Linked DNA regions of Macaca fascicularis. The protein of the gene in region 4 purifies or fractionates together with the protein of the main gene of each other region. This does not show direct contact. Links are inferred from orthologs where the notes say so. Each region holds a gene or a part of one and is shown on either strand. Other genes may lie near its edges.

What was found.
Region 1: the proteins of BACH1 (region 4) and MAFK purify together in Homo sapiens (affinity purification with mass spectrometry; 6 studies listed by BioGRID and IntAct, counting the BioPlex papers as one, with this or other methods). This does not show direct contact. The link is inferred for Macaca fascicularis from reciprocal best matches to the Homo sapiens genes BACH1 and MAFK.
Region 2: the proteins of BACH1 (region 4) and FAM83D purify together in Homo sapiens (co-immunoprecipitation; 3 studies listed by BioGRID and IntAct, counting the BioPlex papers as one, with this or other methods). This does not show direct contact. The link is inferred for Macaca fascicularis from reciprocal best matches to the Homo sapiens genes BACH1 and FAM83D.
Region 3: the proteins of BACH1 (region 4) and MAFF purify together in Homo sapiens (affinity purification with mass spectrometry; 3 studies listed by BioGRID and IntAct, counting the BioPlex papers as one, with this or other methods). This does not show direct contact. The link is inferred for Macaca fascicularis from reciprocal best matches to the Homo sapiens genes BACH1 and MAFF.

What each region holds. Positions count from the first base shown.
Region 1 is NC_088377.1:34,990,018-34,994,768, reverse strand, and holds the end of MAFK (transcription factor MafK), read right to left. Parts: intron 4,208-4,751; coding exon 3,773-4,207; 3' UTR 1,158-3,772; downstream 1-1,157. UniProt on the Homo sapiens protein: Since they lack a putative transactivation domain, the small Mafs behave as transcriptional repressors when they dimerize among themselves.
Region 2 is NC_088384.1:95,076,125-95,081,575, reverse strand, and holds the end of FAM83D (protein FAM83D), read right to left. Parts: intron 3,068-5,451; coding exon 2,086-3,067; 3' UTR 1,312-2,085; downstream 1-1,311.
Region 3 is NC_088384.1:13,395,956-13,399,609, forward strand, and holds part of MAFF (transcription factor MafF), read right to left. Parts: intron 1,533-3,654; 5' UTR 1,502-1,532; coding exon 1,466-1,501; intron 941-1,465; coding exon 482-940; 3' UTR 1-481. UniProt on the Homo sapiens protein: Since they lack a putative transactivation domain, the small Mafs behave as transcriptional repressors when they dimerize among themselves.
Region 4 is NC_088377.1:17,737,231-17,742,703, forward strand, and holds the start of BACH1 (transcription regulator protein BACH1), read right to left. Parts: upstream 3,431-5,473; 5' UTR 3,315-3,430; intron 2,893-3,314; exon of another isoform or gene 2,502-2,892; intron 1-2,501. UniProt on the Homo sapiens protein: Transcriptional regulator that acts as a repressor or activator, depending on the context. Binds to NF-E2 DNA binding sites. Plays important roles in coordinating transcription activation and repression by MAFK.

The DNA.
Region 1 (4,751 bases), about 17 Mb from region 4:
CCCAACTCACACCCACCAGCTCCCCCAGGAGGAGCAGGCTGGGCCCAGAGCCGCGGGGTGGGCCACAGGGGAGGTCTGACTTAGCTGGGGAAAGTGCCATCCCTGCCATTGCTAGTGACAAGCTCAGGCTGCTGTGGCCCCAGCACAGATTCAACCCTCGTGCCGGCTGCTGCAGTCACCTCCACGCCCACCTCACAGGAAGCAAGGCTGGGAAGGAGGGAACTGGCCCCAGGCCACACAGATGCTGAGAGGTGGGATTATGATCAGGTGCCATGGCTCATGCCTGTAATTCCAGCACTTGGAGAGGCCAAGGCGAGTGGATTGCTTGAGCCCAGGAGTCTGAGACCAGCCTGGGCAACATGGTAAAACACCATCTCTCCAAAAACATACAAAAATTAGCTGGGCGTGGTGGTGTATGCCGGCGGTCCCAGCTACTCAGGAGGCTGAGATGGGAGGATTGCTTGAGCCCGGGAGGTTGAGGCTGCAGTGAGCCGTGATCACGAGCACTCCAGCCTGGGTGACAGAGCAAGATGTCTCAAAAAAATCCAGCTTGGATTTCACCCTGCGTGGTCCAGCACTGAACGGCATTCACCCTTCGGTCAGCTCAGCCCCAAAAATGGGGCCGGGTGTGCCGGGGCTGCTCTCCTGGAAGGCCAGGCGGAGCGGCGACGGCATGTGGGCAGGCCCTTGGCTTTTCAGAGGAGTCCACAGGCTTCCAGCCACTGTGCAGGGCCGCTTTGCTCTCTGCTCCCAGACAGACCCTGTCTTGCTCACGGCTTCCTGCAGGCTCCTCTGAGAGTCCAGCAGAGCTGGGTGAGGGATCTCCTGGGGAAGGGGGACACTGACAGCCATGGTGCTCTCTGCTCCTTCCACTGGGAGAGGCTGCATGGACAGGGGGCTGTGGGTGGGGCAGATGGCGACACTCAGGACTGCGGCCTGACCCTCGGAGACTGAGCCCGGGACGTGGCCACCTAACCAGCACCTCCCCCGTGGCTGTCCCAGCATCACGGTCACGGGCCAGCAGTCTGTGAAAGCCACTTACACATGGTGCCCAGATCCTGACCCTGGTGAGGGACAGGCGGGGTCCCCTGGGATGGGGGGTGTGTGGTTCTTAGCCCAAAAAAGCCCCAGCCAAAAGCACCAACTGCACAACGAAAGAGTCTGAAACCAGAAAATTCTTTATTGCAAAGGTACAAAAGCGGTCACAGCAGCAGGACGCACGGCAATAAATTAGGTGGTGGCCGCAGGGACGGGGCAGGGCGGCGGCGGCCAGACACGGGCCCGCATGTGATCTGTTCTCAATAATTTATATCATGATAAAAAGCAGCACAAAAATAAATATTGAAATGGAACTGCCAAGTAGCACAGAGGCCAGGGTGAGGCGGTGTGGGGGCGTGGGGGGCAGGGGTCCCCACGCCCTGGAAACGCAAAGACCTGGATCTCTTTGGGAAGCCAGAGGCACAGAGACAGAAAACAAACCCACGCGGCAAAGAGGCCTTCGTCTTTTTCTTAAATAAAAAAATCCATATATTAAATCATGACAATGAAATTTCAACGATCCGAAAAGAAAAGCAGAACGCGCCGTGCTTCCCCGGCCCGGCTCTGGGCGGTGACAGCGGCTCCGTCCACCCTGGGGGCCGGGGAGTCCCCTCTCCGGCAAAGCACCACAGGCCGAGGGCAGGTGGTCGCCCACGGCCCATAAGACGTGGACACCAAGAACCCCAAAATGGGACAGAACCGGCCACCCGCTGCAGCCTGTCCTGTGGGGGCCCAGCAGCCTGGTGCAGTCCGTGGTGAGGGGGACGGTGGGCAGCCCGGGCCTCTGGTTTGCTCCCAACTCCCACCTGTGCCCGTGCCCCCAAGCTCTGCTCTGATAGATTTACAGTATCAAACTGGAAAAGAAAGATTGTTACGAAAAATCTGTAGATAAACTGTGAATATAATTTTATATCTCTATATAGTTTGTTTCTCTCTTTAAATATCCCCCTGGTCCTTATGACATCCAATATGGATTACCTACCATGGCCACGGGGGCAACGGCTGTTTGGGAACTCGCAGGCCTTTGCTCCACAGGGACCCAGTGGTCCTGGCGGGCCTGCAGCTTCCCACTCACTTCTAACAGTAGACACAGAACCAAGTCGCCGCCCCGGGGCTGTCTGTCCTCCGCCCTCCCAGCGTGGCTGGCACCAGCCTGGGCTCTGTAGCCGGTGGGGGTGTTACTGGATGGGCAGGGGCAGCCGAGAGGGAGCCGAGGCACCACCTTGCATGTCCTAGGTGGCGGCCCCCAGCCAGTGGCTCACATTCCGCCAGCTCCCCCAGGCAGGGGCTCTACGACCCCCGATGCAGATACCCCAGTCACAGCAGGGACCCTCAAGGTGGCACTCCAGGAAAAGGAAGCCCAAGGTGGAGTGCCAAGCCCACCAGTGCCTCGGTGCTCGGGGAAGGAGGAACAGGCGAAGGCTCCGGGCGAGGACTGAGTGCCAAGGCCACACCTGCAGCTCGTGGCTGTGCTCCTGGGGGTGTGCACGTGAGAGCCACATCCACGAGGCTCTCCTGGCCTGGTGCCTGCCGCCTCCCCACCCACCACGCCCTCTGGAGTGCCAGCCTCACTCCTGAGCTCTTGTATAAGCCAGCCGCATCCTGGTCCTGCCCCTCAAGCCTTTCCACCAGCTCTCGCACACGGCTCCCGCCTCCTCCCACCACCCAATGCAACGTCCTCTCCCTCCCACCTCCACGTCCACATCTACCAACGTCCCCCAAGCTGCACCCCCTCTCCCTAGACTGCAGCGGCCCTTCCCCTCTAGGCCCCCAAAAGACCTCCTCGTTCCCCCTGCACTGACCACAGCTGGTGAGAAGCAGCTCCAGGACACAGAGCCTGAGTCCTGCTCACCATCAAATGATGGGACGCTCCTGTCCGTGTCCGCTGAGGTCCAGGATGGCCTGCGGGGTCGGTGTCTGGGGGGCCGGCTCCCGTGGGTGGGGCTTCTGTGCTGTGCTGCACGACCTCCTCGGGTCACCAGAGCACACGGGAGACCTCACAACGTATGAGCCACTCTCTCTGCCACACGTGCCCACAGGCCCTCCTCCAGTGAACACCTGCCCCCTCAGCCCTGGTGCTGTGATGGCAGACGGGCCTGCACACACACACGTGCACACACACAGACACCACCCCACGCAGGCGGCCTCCCACACCGCGCACACTTGCACAAGCCCCTGCTAAGGCAGACACGGGTCACAGGCAACTGCAACAGGACAGCTGGAAGGACGGAGCTGCCGACGCACCATCCATGCTCCTCCCAGGGTCTGCGGAGTCGGTCAGGGCAGCGAGGGGCTCCCGCACCAGCTGGGAGGCCACAGCAGGGCAGGTGTCGAAGGCTGCTCCCAGCTGCAGTGGAAAACAAGCCCCACGCTGACCTGACCACAGGGGCCTAACTCCTGGGGCCGTGTCTTCTGGCAGCCCCCGCGGGGGCGGCGGAACTTCCCGAGGGCCTTTCTGTTATATGTCCCGACTCCCACGGGTGCAAGATGCCAATTCCCACACACAGACGCATCCTGTGGGGAGCAGGGGGCGGGCGTGTGTGTGGACCGGCACGCAGCTCTGGGCCCACGGGAGCCCACTCTTCACCCTGCACCACAGTCTCATCCTGGTGTGAGTCGCCCGCGCCTGAGGGGCCTGCGCTTGGACTCGGATGTCGAGAGTCTGCGTCCCAGTGACAGGTATGAGGGGCGCGCCCCTGCCCGCCTGCCTGCCGCTCCCCGCCCCCAGCCGGCACTAGGATGCGGCCGAGAAGGGCACGGAGGTGGAGGAGAGCTCAGCGGACTTGACGATGGTGATGACGCTGGTGGTGGCCACCTTGGAGGGCACCACGGGTCCCCGGGCCACGGTGCGCGCGAAGGTCTGCAGCGCCTCGTACTTGGAGCGCAGGGCGTCCAGCTCCAGCCGCATGCTGCTGTTCTCACGCGCCAGCTTCTCCACCTCCTGCTGCAGCTCCACGCGCTGCCGCTCCAGCTCCTCCTTCTGCGTCACCCGCTTGATGCGGCAGCTGGCCGCGTAGCCGCGGTTCTTGAGCGTGCGCCGACGCTGCTTCAGGCGGGTGACCTCCTCCTTGGTGAGACCCCGCAGGTGCTGGTTCAGCTCCCGCACCGACATGGACACCAGCTCATCGTCGCTGAGCACCGGAGCGTTCTCGCCCGCCTCCTTCTTGACCTGGGGACGGCCACAGCATGGGGTCAGCAGCGGGAGAACGTGGGGTGTCTGCCTGGGACCGGCACGGGGGTGGACAGGGACCCAGCGGTGCCCCTGCATGCCCATGCTCTTTTGGGGCTGGCCTTTGCCGTCCGCATCAGGGACCACAGGACACCATGCACACAGGCAGCCCACGTGACGGCTGTGGCCCCACAGGACCCTTTCTGAACAGGAGAAGCCAGCGGTGACATCGGTCACTCCTGGTTACCGACAGCCTCAGAGCCCACGAGGACCTGGAGCACATGGGTCCTGCTGCTGGGACTGAGCCAGCCCACAGGCATGCCCCATGGCAGAGGCGGCAAGCGCCAGGCACAGGTGGGCCCAGGCCCTAGGAGCTGGAGCATCCCATTCACCAGAGGCCAGTCTGCCCACGCCTGGAGTCGGGGGGTGAGCTCATGCAGTAGCGCCTGGCGGACACACAGCCCAGGCGGACAGACCCTGCCACACCCTGAGCCTGGGAGTCATCTCCTGGAACCACAGTCCCCGATCCTGGCCCCACCTCTCC
Region 2 (5,451 bases), on a different chromosome or scaffold from region 4:
ATTGAGTTATGAGGATGTAATTGTACATCATTGTAGTGTTCACCTTATTGAAGCTCACTCTGATGTTAATGAGCTTCGGGTTTTGATGCTTGTTTAGAGATCAGCAGTCTTGGATGGGAGGGAACAAAGCTAAATAAATCGTAGTTTGGTGAAAAAAAAAAAAAGAAATAGTCGTATAACAGAGTACTGCACTTAGAATCTAGAAACCTGTGTTTAAATTCTTGTGTCACCATTTACAAGCCATGCCATCTTGAATATGCTACTTAATCAGAGCCTCAGTTTCATCTGAAAATTGGAAATAACAGCTATCTAACCTGCATAGCTCTCTGCTACATTGCTGCAAAGATCAAAGATGACACATATGAAGTGACCTAAGTCTGCAAGATGATTTCAAGTAACAATATGTTTACTCGAGGCTTAGCTCAGAGTTGTTTCTAAGCAGACATGGATCAATTTCCTTACATTTGCTTTACAGCCACAGATTACAGCACTAACCCAGTAAATAACCTGACCACCAAAAGGGAGTCCTGGCATAGGCGTGAGTGTAGGGGCACTCATGATCCAAGTGCATCAGCAGTTTATGTGGCAGATGCCTTCCCCTGCTGTAGATCTTGTTTGCTGTAGCTAAGTCAGGAGAGGGAGGAAGCCATCATTTAACTCCCTTCCCTTTTGTCTGTCCATGAGAATGAGACAAAAACAGGATTCCACAGCCATACCAATCCTGATTAGCAGGGTGTAGAAACCAGTTACATTGCCTGCCACTGGACCAGGAAACCTGGATAATTGTCAGTGTCCTCTTTTGCCCCTACTCTAGGATATTAGATTGTAAATCACTGTCAATACACCCAACTGATGAAATGAGGCCCATGGGGCCACCAGAGTTAATATTGGGAATGAATATAGGAACATACACTAAGGCCTCCTTTGGTAGACAAGCAGAGTACCAACGTGCCAAGGACCTACCGAAATAGCTCAGGTTTCTTCTTCAAAAAGAGAAAAGGCAGAGCATGTGCAAAGGCCTGCTATTTCTGGCCAGTTTCCTCACTCAAACTATACGGTAACATCAACATTCATGATGCTAATGAAGGTTAAGTGGATCTATTTTCCCTTCTATAGTTTGGATCATCTATTTCTTCCTCACCCTGACACTATGTTAAAAACCTTCAGATATAGATACCTATATACCTTTATCTATTAGATGCATTTATTTGTGACATATTCCCAGATTTAAAGAGAAAAGTGTCAGAGAAGGGGGAAAAAAGTACAAAAACACAAGTTTATATTTATTTAATGCTAAGAACACAGATATTCTAAAGAGATAAAAAGTAGTTTTATTTTTTCTAAATAGGATTTTGATTACAAAAATGCTGATAATTCAAACCTTTAAAGCGGAAAAGCATATAACCTGAGAAAAATGCAAAACATATTTCATCTCTCACCTGAGTTAGACTTAAACACCTAAGCATTCTCCTTAAGAGATTAATACAGTCACGTGTTGCCCAATGATAGGGATACATTCTGTGAAATGTGTTGTTAGGTGACTTCGTCCTTGTGCAAACAGCACAGAGTGTACTTACGGAACCCTAGATGGTATAACTACTACACACCTAGACTATATGGTATAGCCAGTTGCTCCTGGACTACAAACGTGTACATCATGTTACTGCACTGAATACTGTAGGCAACTGTAACATAATGGTATTTGTATCTAAACATAGAAAAGGTATAGTAAAAATACGGTATTATAATCTTACGGGACTGCCATCATATACGTGGTCTGTCATTGACCGAAACATCATTATGTAGTGCATGACTATTAAAATTGTGCAAAAAAAAAAAAAACAAGAAAAAAAAATAAACCTGTATCCATAGTGTTTAAACCGTAAAACCAATACCTGGTACATACATGACAAAAACAAAACAAAGCACGTAAAAGAATATGCAGCCTATAGAATTCAAAGACAACAAAGGTGACAAAGTCAGGTAAAAGAAAGGCAATTAGGGACGTAAGATATTTTTTAAAGCAGGAAGCTGATGATGTCCACTGTAAGCCTGGAAGAAACCAGGAGTCTGAATACGGAGTAGTTACTGATAGGAAGGATAAAGTGCTGCATCTCTAATAGCAAGCAAATTAACTCTGCTGAAATTGCCAGAATGAAGGCCAAAGTGGTTTTCAGTAAAGAGTGTTCTCCTTGACAGCATAGCCAGCATGTGGTTGAGCCGGGACCTGATACCAGCGAAGTGGAATTGCCGCTCTTTGTTCAAGTTTCTAAGTGAGTCACTCAAGTACAGTTCCATGTGGGGGGTGCCCAGGTACTTAGGATAGCCAGGATTGTGGAAGTCAGTGGCTCTGATGGAAGCAGGAGAGCCAGTGGAGCTTGCCACAGAGCCTTGGGAAGACACAGAGGAGGAAGACTTCAAACTGGAAGATCTTGATACAGACATTTTTGAGACTGGTGACCCTTCCGTAGATTGAGTTCCTTGAGGAAAGAGAATGTTCTCATCCATGTCAGTCTGAGTGGTGGTTGACCTGGACCAAACCATGGTTTGAGAGCTTGCTATCCTGGTGGTGACTGCAGTCTGGGTCCCAGCACACGCTGTGGTGATGCTGGTTTGTGTTCCCACCTCACTCACACTCAGCCTTGGCATCTCCTCTCCTGGCTCTGTTTGAGTGGCAGCGTCAATGGCCTTTCTGCTCTGGAGCTCGTCCCTGTGGCTGTTGAAGTAGTCTTCCTCACTAACAGTGGAGGACTCACAGTCATGGGGCTTGCGCTCTGCCTTGCCCTCTGCGGGCATCTCTGGGTCCAGGTCCGCCTTCCTGGGAGTACTGGAGAGCCTAGCCAGCCGCATCCGCAGCAGGTTGCCTAGGGTGAGCTCCTTAGACTGTGGTTTTCGGTCGGTGAGGTGATCAAACTTGTTGCTGCTCTGGAAGTGAGACAGGAGTTTGGGACTGATGGGCTTGGACTGGGCATACAGGATTCGGAACTCCAGATCAAAGTGTTCAACCACTTGGCCAGACAGAATTACCAAGTTACTGCTGTTTAATTTGCCATCTGTCCATGTAAAACTTAAGGATTAAAAAGAAACAAACAGCAGCTGGTAAGGATGAGCAATTTTGGTTTACTCACTGTCCATCTGAATAATATAGCACAGGTATCTTACCACATAAGGGTCACAACTTTGGTGATACAATACCTAACATTTGCATGCATTTAACTAGCCTTAACATATATATAACACATATGTGTGTTACCATAAAAGTAAAAAGGCCAGCTGTTTAACAAACACACTAAATGCTCAGCCTCAGAGGGTTTTTTTTGTTTTGTTTTGTTTTTTTTGAGATGGGGTCTTGCTATATTGCTCAGACTGGTCTTGAACTCCTGGGCTCAAGCAGTCCTCCCACCTCAGCCTTCCAAAGTGCTAGGATTACAGGCATGAGCCACCTCACCTGGTCCTTGCCTCAGAGTTTTTAAAAACTAGAAAGGGGGCCAGGCGCGGTGGCTCACGATTGTAATCCCAGCACTTTGAGAGGCCAAAGTGGGCAGATCCCTTGAGGTCAGAAGTTCAAGACCAACCTGGTCAACATGGGGAAACCCTGTCTCCAGTAAAAACACACAAAAAATTAGCCAGGCATGGTGGTGCATGCCTGTAATCCTAGCTACTCAGGAGGCTGAGGTAGGAGAATTGCTTGAACCCGGGAGGCAGAGGTTGCGGTGAGCCGAGGTCATGACACTGCACACTCTATGACAGAGTGAGACTCCGTCTCAAAAAATAAATAAATTAATTAATTAATTAAAAATAAAAAGTAGGGCTTGTAAGTATTTAGGCCAGCATCCCCATTGTAAGGTAAGAAAACTAGGCCAGCACCCCCATTTTAAAGGTACGGAAACCAGATAAAGGGATTATCACAGTGGGGAGCTACTAATGGACCCCATATCAGGCCCCAGGCCCTATGAATTGCTAATGCCCTGCTCCTTGCTACTGTTTGAGTGGTAACATGCCTTCCTGCCCTCAAGCTTGTCCTTGTGGCTGTTGAAGCAGTCTTCCTAACAGTGGAGGACCCACAGTCATGGGGCTATGCTGCCATTTTCACAAAACACCATGGCTCAAAACATGTTAGAGCTGATTAGTGGCCATGTGCCCTTGCCTGTCCAGTGTCCCTTCCCCGCCTCCCTTGTCTGCTAGCAGAACTCACACCCACCTGTACCCCAGAAAGCTTTCATTATCATACTCTCTCCAACCACAATAGGGGCAGGCATATGGTCCAGACTGGCCAGAGTATCCTATTCCCTCGGATGCAGGGATTCATTCAGGTTGGGCATGTAATCCCACCCGAGCCAAGTAATTTTTTAGAGATTTCTTTTTTCTTTGTCAAATGGATTCTGACAGAAGGGATTGATAGCAATTCTGAGTGAAAGTGTTTCACCCTTTGGGAGACAGCGACTAAAGACCATGTAAGAAAGCCAGGATCTGGCCGGGTGCGGTGGCTCACGCCTGTAATCCTAGCACTTTGGGAGGCCGAGGCAGGTGGATCATGAGGTCAGGAGATCGAGACCATCCTGGCTAACAGAGTGAAACCCCGTCTCTACTAAAAATACAAAAAAAAAAATTAGCTGGGTGTGGTGGCGGGCACCTGTAGTCCTAGCTACTCAGGAGGCTGAGGCAGGAGAATGGCGTGAACCCAGGAGGCGGAGCCGGCAGAGCACCGAGATCGCACAACTGCACTCCAGCCTGGGCAACAAAGCAAGACTCTGTCTCAAAAAAAAAAAAAAAAAAAAGAAAGCCAGGATTGTTGACTTTAAAGGGAGAGCCTACCTAAGAACAAAAATCAACTCGAAAACATCAGAATCAGGAGACAGTGTTCTGATCAGTGTGTGGGTCTTAGGTCAAGGTGAACTGAAAACCAACTGTAACTTCCTATGCTTCCTTCCAAGTTCTTCAAGTCAGTACGTTTGAGAGTTAGCTGACACTCGCCATCACCCCACTAATGGTGGTATTTGTACCGGAATAGGTTTCAAATAGAGATCATAAAACACAGTCAACTCTGTCTCCTGTAACCAAAAATCTGGCTAATGCAAAGTCCCCCTGAAAACTGCCTTCAAAGCCTGAGAAGGAAGATTCTTTTGAAAGCCTTCAATGAGGCTGGGCACAGTGGCTCACACCTGTAAGCCCAGCACTGTGGAAGGCCAAGGCCAGCAGATCACCTGAGGTCGGGAGTCTGAGACCATCCTGGCCAACACGGTGAAACACTATCTCTACTAAAAATACAAAAAGTAGCCAGGCATGGTGGCATGCCTGTAGTCCCAACTACTCGGGAGGCTGAGGCACAGGAATCACTCCTGAGAGGCAGAGGTTGCAGTGAGCTAAGATGGCGCCACTGCACTCTAGCCTGAGCAACAGAGCAAGACTCCATCTCAAAAAAAAAAAAAAAAAAAAAAAAAAAAAAGAAAG
Region 3 (3,654 bases), on a different chromosome or scaffold from region 4:
GGGTCAGGCACCCCCAGGCCTAAACCAGAGGTGGAGGCATCTCTTCAGTGCAATTTCTCAGCAGGATGGCCTGTAAGTCACAGCCAGCCAAACCTAGCTCTGAATCCTGGGAGGGTTTGGAGGACATATTGGCACAATCAGAGCAGTTTCCAAGATGAGGGGTGCCCTCTTCTCCCCCAACAGCTGTTCTCTGAGCCGGCTCTGTATCTCTCAATCTAAAAAGGCTAAACTTTCAGCCAAGGGCGATCCCAGATCCAGACCTCTGTCCCATCCCCAACCTACCAAAGTTCCCCTTCCCAGGGCCATGCGGTCCCAGTTTTGGGGGCTGCAAGAGGAAGACAGGGCCCATGGAGGGAGTGTGTGTGCACCAAGGGGCCAGTGCTGCAGAGAAATGGGGCCTGGGCACAGAGGCGGCGCTCAGGCACTTTGGGGAGGGAGCTGGAGCCGGAGGGGCGTGGCTGGGGCATGGCGGGGGCGGGCACTAGGAGCAGGAGGCCGGGCCGTGGGCGGGGTCCGCTCCGGGGGCGGGGCCAGACCCCGAGCCCGGGGTGGACTTGACGATGGTGATGACGCTGGCTGGCGCCACGAGCGTGGTGGGCCCGCGGGCTGCGGCCACAGAGCGCGCGAAGCCCTGCAGTGCCTCGCACTTGCCGCGCAGCGCGTCGAGCTCCAGGCGCATGGCGGCGTTCTCGCGCGCCAGCTTGTCCACCTCGCGCTCCAGCTCCGACTTCTGCTTCTGCAGCTCCTCCTTTTGGCACACGCGCTTCACGCGGCAGCTGGCGGCGTAGCCGCGGTTTTTGAGTGTGCGGCGCCGCTGCTTGAGCCGTGTCACCTCCTCGGCCGAGAGCCCGCGCAGGTGCCGGTTCAGCTCGCGCACCGACAGCCCCATCAGCGCCTCGTCCGACAGGTGCGGCGTGTTCTCACTCAGCTCTCGCTTGATCTGCGGGCATAGGGAAACTGAGGCCCAGGGACTGGGGACGGTGCCCCGCTCCACACCTCGGTGTTCCTCTTTCACTGCCTTAGCCACCGAGGTGGTGGTTGGACTTGATCCAAAACCCTGAAGGGGAGCAGGAATCCGGGAAGGGGAAACCAGGCCAAACTAGGATCCGGACACAAAAGGAGGCCACCCCGGGCTCAACCTGAATTCTAACCTAGCGCCAAGCCCTGGACTCAGCCAGAGAAACCCAGCCCGGAAAGCACCTTTGAATGCACCAGGGGGCATTGACTCGATGGGGAAGGAGGATGGAGAGGGAAGTGACCTACCCCAGGGACATGCAGCCCGTGACCAGAGCCCAGGCCTCCTGGTTCCAGCCTGTGGCTGTGGCCCTTCCCTTGGGCATCATGAAGGCCTGGTGCCTGCTGAGCCACCCAGGGGATTCCAGGAAAGAAGGGGAAGTTGGGATGACGAGGCTCTACATGGGCAGGGAGGGAGGGCTTCATGGGTTAACAGAGGCTGCCTCCTTACCTTTAGAGCTTTGCTGGATAGGGGATCCACAGACATGTTTGCAGAAGGTGCCTTCTGGGCCGCAGACCTAGGGTAGAAAGGAGGTCAAAGTCACCTTGTTTTGTTTTTGTTTTCCCATTTAGAATAACATCCAAACTCACTACCTTGCCATTCAAGGCCTCTGCTATCTTAGAACTGATTCATACCTGCCACCTTCCTCTCTCCACATTGCTCCACAGGCCTCCTTGAATGGCTCTTTCCAGCCTCGGGAGCTGTGCACATGCTGTTCTCTTTACTGTTCTAGCTCCCCATGGTGACTCCTCATCATTTAGGTGTTTGCCCAATGTCACCGCCTCAAGAGATCTTCTTTGACCATTCCGGCTAAACGCCTCTTTGTGTCACATCACATAACCCTGCCTATTAACCCTTGTAACAGTCACCTCTTCTGCATTTCTTGTGCTTGGTTCCTCATCTATGATTTGTTTCTCCTTCCCACTCCTCCTCCACCAAAACGGAAGCCCATGAAGGCAGAGGCCTTGCCTGTCTCACCATGGCATCAATATGCCTAAATAAGTGCTTGGTATATAGTAGATGGCCCAGTAAGTGTGCACCAAATGAATAGATGTCCCTCTCCTGACCATTCTTCCACATGGGGCTTGGTCATGTGCCTTTGATTTGATTTTTCAGAACTTTTTTTCTTTTTTTGACACAGTCTTACTCTGTCGCCCAGGCAGGAATGCAGTCGTGCGATCTCGGCTCACCTCCCGGGTTCAAGTGATTCTCCTGCCTCAGCCTCCCAAGTAGCTGGGATTACAGGTGCCTGTCACCATGCCCAGCTAATTTTTTGTATTTTTAGTAGAGATGGGGTTTTGCCATTTGGCCAGGCTGGTTTTAAACTACTGACCTCAGGTGATACACCCACCTTGGCCTCCCAAAGTGTTGGGATTACAGTGTGAGCCACCGTACTCAGCTGATTTTTCAGAACTTTTCTTAAAGTATAACCTACATTCAGAAAAGTACACACAGCATATGTGCACCAGTAAATGCCTTCTTTTTTTTTTTTTTTTTTTTTTTTTTTTTTTTTTTTTTTTTTTTGAGACAGAGTCTCGCTCTGTCGCCCAGACTGGAGTGCAGTGGCCGGATCTCAGCTCACTGCAAGTTCCGCCTCCTGGGTTTACACCATTCTCCTGCCTTAGCCTCCCAAGTAGCTGGGACTACAGGCACCCGCCACCTCGCCCGGCTAGTTTTTTTGTATTTTTTTAGTAGAGACGGGGTTTCACCGTGTTAGCCAGGATGGTCTTGATCTCCTGACCTCGTGCGAGGATCCACCCGTCTTGGCCTCCCAAAGTGCTGGGATTACAGGCTTGAACCACCGCACCCTGCCAGTAAATGCCTTTTTACAAAGCCCATCTGGCACCCCATAAGATACAATATCAGCCAGTCCCCTCTCTCCCCAGGCCTCCTTCATCTAGACCTCTGTTTTGGAAAAGCTTTCCCAGCTGCCTGGGGACTGCCCCACACTAACTCAGCATGCCCTAGGCAGATGGGGCAGCCATCCCTAGACCACTGAGGGCCTCTCATCTCCTAATCCCCCCTCCCACACGCCTGACAGCCGCATGCTCCTTCAACAACTATTTATTGAGCAGCTACTCTTTGCCAAACATGTAGTTGGTAATGGGGAGACAAAGGTGAATAAAACTCGTGGAGGGTCAGTGGTCATTGCTCTGGGCTGGAGAAGGGGACCAACTCCCAAAGGCCCCTATAAAGCAGCAGTCTGCTTTGTCCCTAGCTGATAGGATCTACTCCGCCATTCCTTGTGAACGTGAGTTTTCTCATCTGTCTCCAAGGGGAGGGGGCAGTAATAAGAAGCCAAGGAAAATGAAGGAAGATAGGCTGGGTGCAGTGGCTCAAGCCTGTAATCCCAGCACTTAGGAGGCTGAGGCGGGCAGATCACCTGAGTTCAGGAGTTTGAGACCAGCCTGGCCAACATGGCGAAACTCCATCTCTACCAAAAATACAAAAATTAGCCAGGTGTGGTGGTGCACGCCTGTAGTCCCAGCTATTCGAGAGGCTGAGGCAGGAGAATTGCTTGAACATGGGAAGTGGAGGTTACAGTGAGCCGAGACTACGCCACTGCACTCCAGCCTGGGTGACAGAGCGAGACTTTATCTCAAAAAAAAAAAAAAAAAAGTAAAAAGAAAATAAAGGAA
Region 4 (5,473 bases):
ACAATCTCAAAAATCATCGTTCCACCACATAAAATAAACCCTGTTTAGAATGCTCAGGGAGTGCAGGTTTTAGGGTTAAGACAATTCTCTCATTAACAGAACATAAGTCAGAAAATTAGAAGAGGTGGTGATTCCTAAAACGTAAGTCATAGAGAGATCAGCACAATGAAGAGAATCTCTGACACGTGGTAATTTTAAAGGGTTTTGCAACTGTTATTCTGAGCATAATCTCTCACAGTACAGGTGTGTAGAAGCCACATGGCACATGAGATTTAACTGAACGGTAAATACCACCCTCACTGCCGCCACCCGCCACCAGCACTAGCAGGAGGTTGATATTCAGAATAAATGCTACTTTCCAAGGGATTCACTGAATCTGTCGTCTTATTAATCTTCATTAAGCAAGTGTAAGCTTGGCCAAAAAAAATACAAAAAAAACAAGACTTCGAGGAGTGACAGTACAAAGTAATTTTTACAGAATGTGTGATATACATATTACACTCTATATACATACTACACTCCAATGTGTGGATCATCTTCGAGTATTTCCATTGCACCTTTTTACATTTCACTGCACTTCAGATAACAAACATTTAAACAAACCAACCAGTGAGCTTGTCTCCAAATTCAAAATACAGGTTACCAAATGAAATTCTGTATTTTTTGTATTTCCATCCCCAATATCAACAATGTAACAAGAAGTTTACACTCAAACTTCTAATCTTTAAAGTAAAATATACAGACAAGATAACTACCTATAAAATAAAACTTAAATGGAATATTAAGGACAGTCTGAAAGAACTCTTAGGAGGAAACCATAAAAGAACAAGCATTCCGGTTGCTGAAAGAATGTTATTGACAGTGGTTAACAGGCTATGTTCCCCCAACAACAAACGGGTGGAGGGCATGCACGCGCATTATATAATATGAATGCGCTATTGTTAGTCTGTATTTTTAAGTTTAATGTCTTTCTTATATTAAATAGAAGGTTTTAAAAGTTTTAATATAGTGTTTCCACATGAAACTCCTTGTACCCCACCTTAGAGGCCCTAATACTTACAATATTCATGATTTCTAATCTCCTCTAGTCCCAGACATAAAGGAACAAATATAAAAATTTATATATAAAAAAGTTTTTCCTAATATAAAATGTTTTAAATGAACTATCATTAATAGGAATCATCATTTTTTCCACCAAAGGGTCAAATTCCCAGCTCTACATTGCCCATTCCTAAACTTTGTTTGCAATGAGGATTCATAAATATTTGGGCTGTGTGCTCCTTTTTAAAGCAAGAAGCAATGACACCAGGTGTAAAGGCAGTAGTGTCACACAATCAAGACAATGAGACAGGTATTTATGGTTGGCCATTCATTAAACAGCTCTTTCCAGACTTGACCCAATGAGACCTGTTAATTCCACCCATACTGTGCTTACCCTCCTCTGACTCCTGAAACTTCTTGTGTATGCATGAAAAGCCAAGGGTCTTGAGAAACAGCAAGTCCCCTCTGTGTACTCATAACCAAATTTTTATGAAGCACAAATTAAGCTCACTGCTTGAAATTTATAGACCACGTAACAAAAACCACAAAAAGGAAACTAAGTCCAGTAAGAGTAGCAAATATTTTTGTTACAATATTTTTTATTGGGTTACCCCTAGCTGCAAATTTCTTCCCCAGTTTCAGCTCTCTCCAGCGCAAATTTCTTCTCAGACAGCAGGTCACGAGACTCTGGGTTTAAACACCGCCTCAGTGCTATTGGCCACTGCCTAAGAGTGCTCTTCCACTTCACCCACCGATAAGCTGGATCAAAACAACCCCAGCTGGGTCCCCTTCAGCCTTCTGAAGCAACCCCTCTAGAGCGCTCCTTGGCCTTTTATAGTGGAGGCATGTGATGAGTATCTGCACCAGCTGTTTCTAATTACCTCTCAAGCTGGGGCGAATGACTCAGCAACCCAACTTTTTAAAGAGTCATCCTACCTTGTTAATCAACCAACATACTGAACAATAGTAAACCACTTGACAGAACCATAGGTTAAACAGCAATACAAGATTCACTACACCAAAGCCACCCTACTCCAAGCTGACTCACCAGGAGCCTTTCTTCCCTAACCTTCCTTAAGATGTCCAAAGGCAGAAGTGGCAAGTGCCTTCAAGCCAAGCCCAGCCCAGCCCTTGCACCACTACCCAAAGACCAGGAAGAAGCAAGCCTCTTCCCATTTCTCTGCTTGGCTATGTGAAGCGCTCAAGTGCTCTGCCACTAACACATCTGGGATTTCCACCCTTTATCCTTCTGAACTGCATTCAATACAAACCCTCTGATGTAAAGTGTGTTCAAATATGTGACCAAATTCCCATAGCATCCTCCATGGGTAACAGTCCATACCCCTATACAATTTTCCAAAAAGCAAAGCATCCTACAAAACATTCTTTGTTCCTCCAAGCCTGACACTGTAGCTCGTTTTCCCCATACACGTTCTTTCACAATTACTACTACACTTTACCTGGAATCAAAACAAGTTTAACGCAGAAGCCTCACTCCATAAAAGCATTCCGCACAATTCTACTCAATGACATGAAACTGCCGTGTAAGAATGAGGAAGCAACGGCACTCGTGTTACATTACACGAGCACAAAGCTGGTGTCTCCAGAATCAACGCCCACTCTCACCATATTGTGCGAGGCTTAATTACAACGCGTGGGCAAAACTCCAACAAAGGGAGTCCTGGGATCTCCGGTCCCCAAAACCAGTCTTCGCTAAATCCATCTCAGCACGGTGGCCTTCTCTCCCCAGGCACAAACTCGGCTTTTCTTACGCGATTCCACGCGCGACAGGCACCAGGCTGAGTAGACGCGAGGCTGGGCATAGCGGTGGGAGGCGGCGGAGGACAATACGGGGCCCCAGCCGCGAGGGCGGTGCTGATGTGTCACAGACCGGGCGGGCCGCGGGCGAGGGGCTGGGCTGGCGCCCGAGGGCGGGGAGCGGGGGTGGGGCAGGGACCCCGCGGCCCCTAGTCCCCGCCCGCCCCGGGTAAAGTACGGCGCGCGCGGGTAAACAACAGCTCCTGCCGTGCAGGGGGTTCGGGCGCCGACGGGACGCCCCTTCCGGCGTCGCGGCCACTTCCAGAATCCCGGCCGCCAGCGCCCCCAGCGAGCCCCGCTACGCGCCCCCCGCGCCCCGCCCAGCCCAGAAAGAGCCGCCCCCGGCCCGCCCGCGCCTCCCCCGGACCTGTCCGCGGGCCTCCCCTCACAGGCCCGCGGCCCTGACCGCGCCAACCCTCCCGGAGAAGGGCCGGCGGGACTGCCGAGCCACTCACCGGAGCTGAGGCGCGGCGCGGCCCGACTGACTGCAGCGAGAGCGCCTGGCGGGCGGCGAGGGCAGCGGTCAGGTGACTCACTCCTTCCGCGCGGCCAGCCGCCCCCTCCCTTCTGCGCCGCTCTGCTGCCGCCACCTCGCGGCGCCAAAACCCCGCCCGCCCGCTGGAGGCCCCGCCCCCGCCGCCGAAGCCCCGCCCCGCCCCACCGCCCTCGAGACCTCTGGCAGCGAACTAGCTAGCGCAACAGCGCGGGCCGGGGTCGCCGCGGCCGGAAGCCCGCGCAGAGGGATTGCAGGGTCGGGTCGTAAGGGGCGGGGCGGGCCTCGGGGAGGCGGGGGTGGGGTCCCCGGACCTCCGCGCGTGGCACAGCCCGCAGCCTGAACTGACTCCCACTCCAGGACCACCTCTCCTCTCCCTTCTGAGGGCAGAACAGAAAGGCCGAGCTCCTCCTCGCCCCGGGAGCTGCAGGACGCCCTAATTCAGCCGAGTCGTAGCGTGCCCGGGTGCCCGCGGATAGCAGGAGAGAGGACGGGCGCTGGCCCCACAGGGGTCGCTTTACCCCTTGAAGACCTCCTCGCTGCCTGCCCTGGGGGTGGCGGGCGCCCAGGTTCGCAGGGTACTTGAGCTTGCTGGTTGGGATGTATCAAGTGCGTCCAGGGTTTTCTGGAGCGCGTCTAGCAGTTGCTCTACTTCTTACTGACATGAAACAAGGGCCCCCACGACAGGTGTTCCCTTTTCGCTGTCGCTGCCAGGAAGCTTCCAGCCAGGTTCAGCGCCCAGTGGTGTCAGCCGGCCCATCTCGAGCCTTGGTTCCGCTGTCATCTTCTGGTGCTTATTCTGGTATTTATCCAACTGTCAATTTTGAAATTATGTTCCCAAGCCATTTAACACCTCTGGAGTTCAAAGCAGTGGCTGTCAGCGGAGAGGGATGCACGCGCAGCGGAGGGGACTGTGCACGCCAACCCCACGAGGGTTCCTGCGGAGATGGCACGGACCTTGAGGTCTGTAGCCAAAGGACGATTTGTGTGAAGGGGTTTTACTGTTAGCTTTGGAGCCAGTAACAAGAAGACAGCCGTGGAGTTCCTGGGGCAAAAAGGATACCAAGATAATAATTCAGGTATTATCGCTAACATGACTGCATTTGCACCCACAGGCTGTGGGACTTGAGGACGTTTGAGTTACATCCCAAATACATGAGAAAATCACGTAAGTGAAGTTGGATGGGAGTGCGAGGGGTGAAGTGATACATTATGACCTAGAATTAGGGGAGGCTTCCTGGAGCATTGTGTCTTAACTGGGGAGAGTGGAACCCAGCGGTCTAGATAGGGTCCAGAGGTGGGAGGTACCTCGCATCTCGGGCTGCCTCAGTTCTTGGTGGGAGTGCAGATATTTAGTGAAACATGAGCAAAGGACATTTGGAAATAAACCATGAAAGAAGGATTGAAGTTCTTACAGACACATGAGAGCGCCCGAGGCTTTATTCTCCTTCCACCCTGAGCCAGTGGAATTACAGTCTTTTTTCTACACCTATGCAGTTTTTTCTAGGGGAAGATCAGACCCTCCTCTTTGGGAGGAACTCCTTCTTCTTTAGATAATAGCCGTGACATTTTCTAGCCTGAAAATTATGATGTATGCCCTGACATGTTTAATTATTTGAGAAGCTCTCACAAAGGTATACCAATGTGCTGAGAGTATCAAGGCAAGTGAGTGACTCTCAAGCTTCAATTTGGGTAAGAATATCTGGTTTGCTTGTTAAAATGCAGATTCTGGCCGGGAGCAGTGGCTCATGCCTGTAATCTCAGCACTTTGGGAGGCCAAGGCGGGCGGATCGCGAGATGAGGAGATCAAGACCATCCTAGCCAACATGGTGAAACCCCGTTTCTACTAAAATACAAAAAATTAGCCGGGCGTGATGGCGCGCGCCTGTAGTCTCAGCCACTCAGGAGGCTGACACAGGGGAATCGCTTGAACCTAGTGGGTGGAGGTTGCAGTGAGCCAAGATCGCGCCACTGCACTCACTCCAGCCTGGCGACAGAGCAAGACTCCGTCTCAAAAAAAAAAAAAAAAAAAAAAAAAAAAAAAAAAAAAAAAAAAAGTTTCCTGGGTCCCACCTCCAAAAGATTCTAATTTTGTAGATCTGAGTAGGACCTAAGGATCTG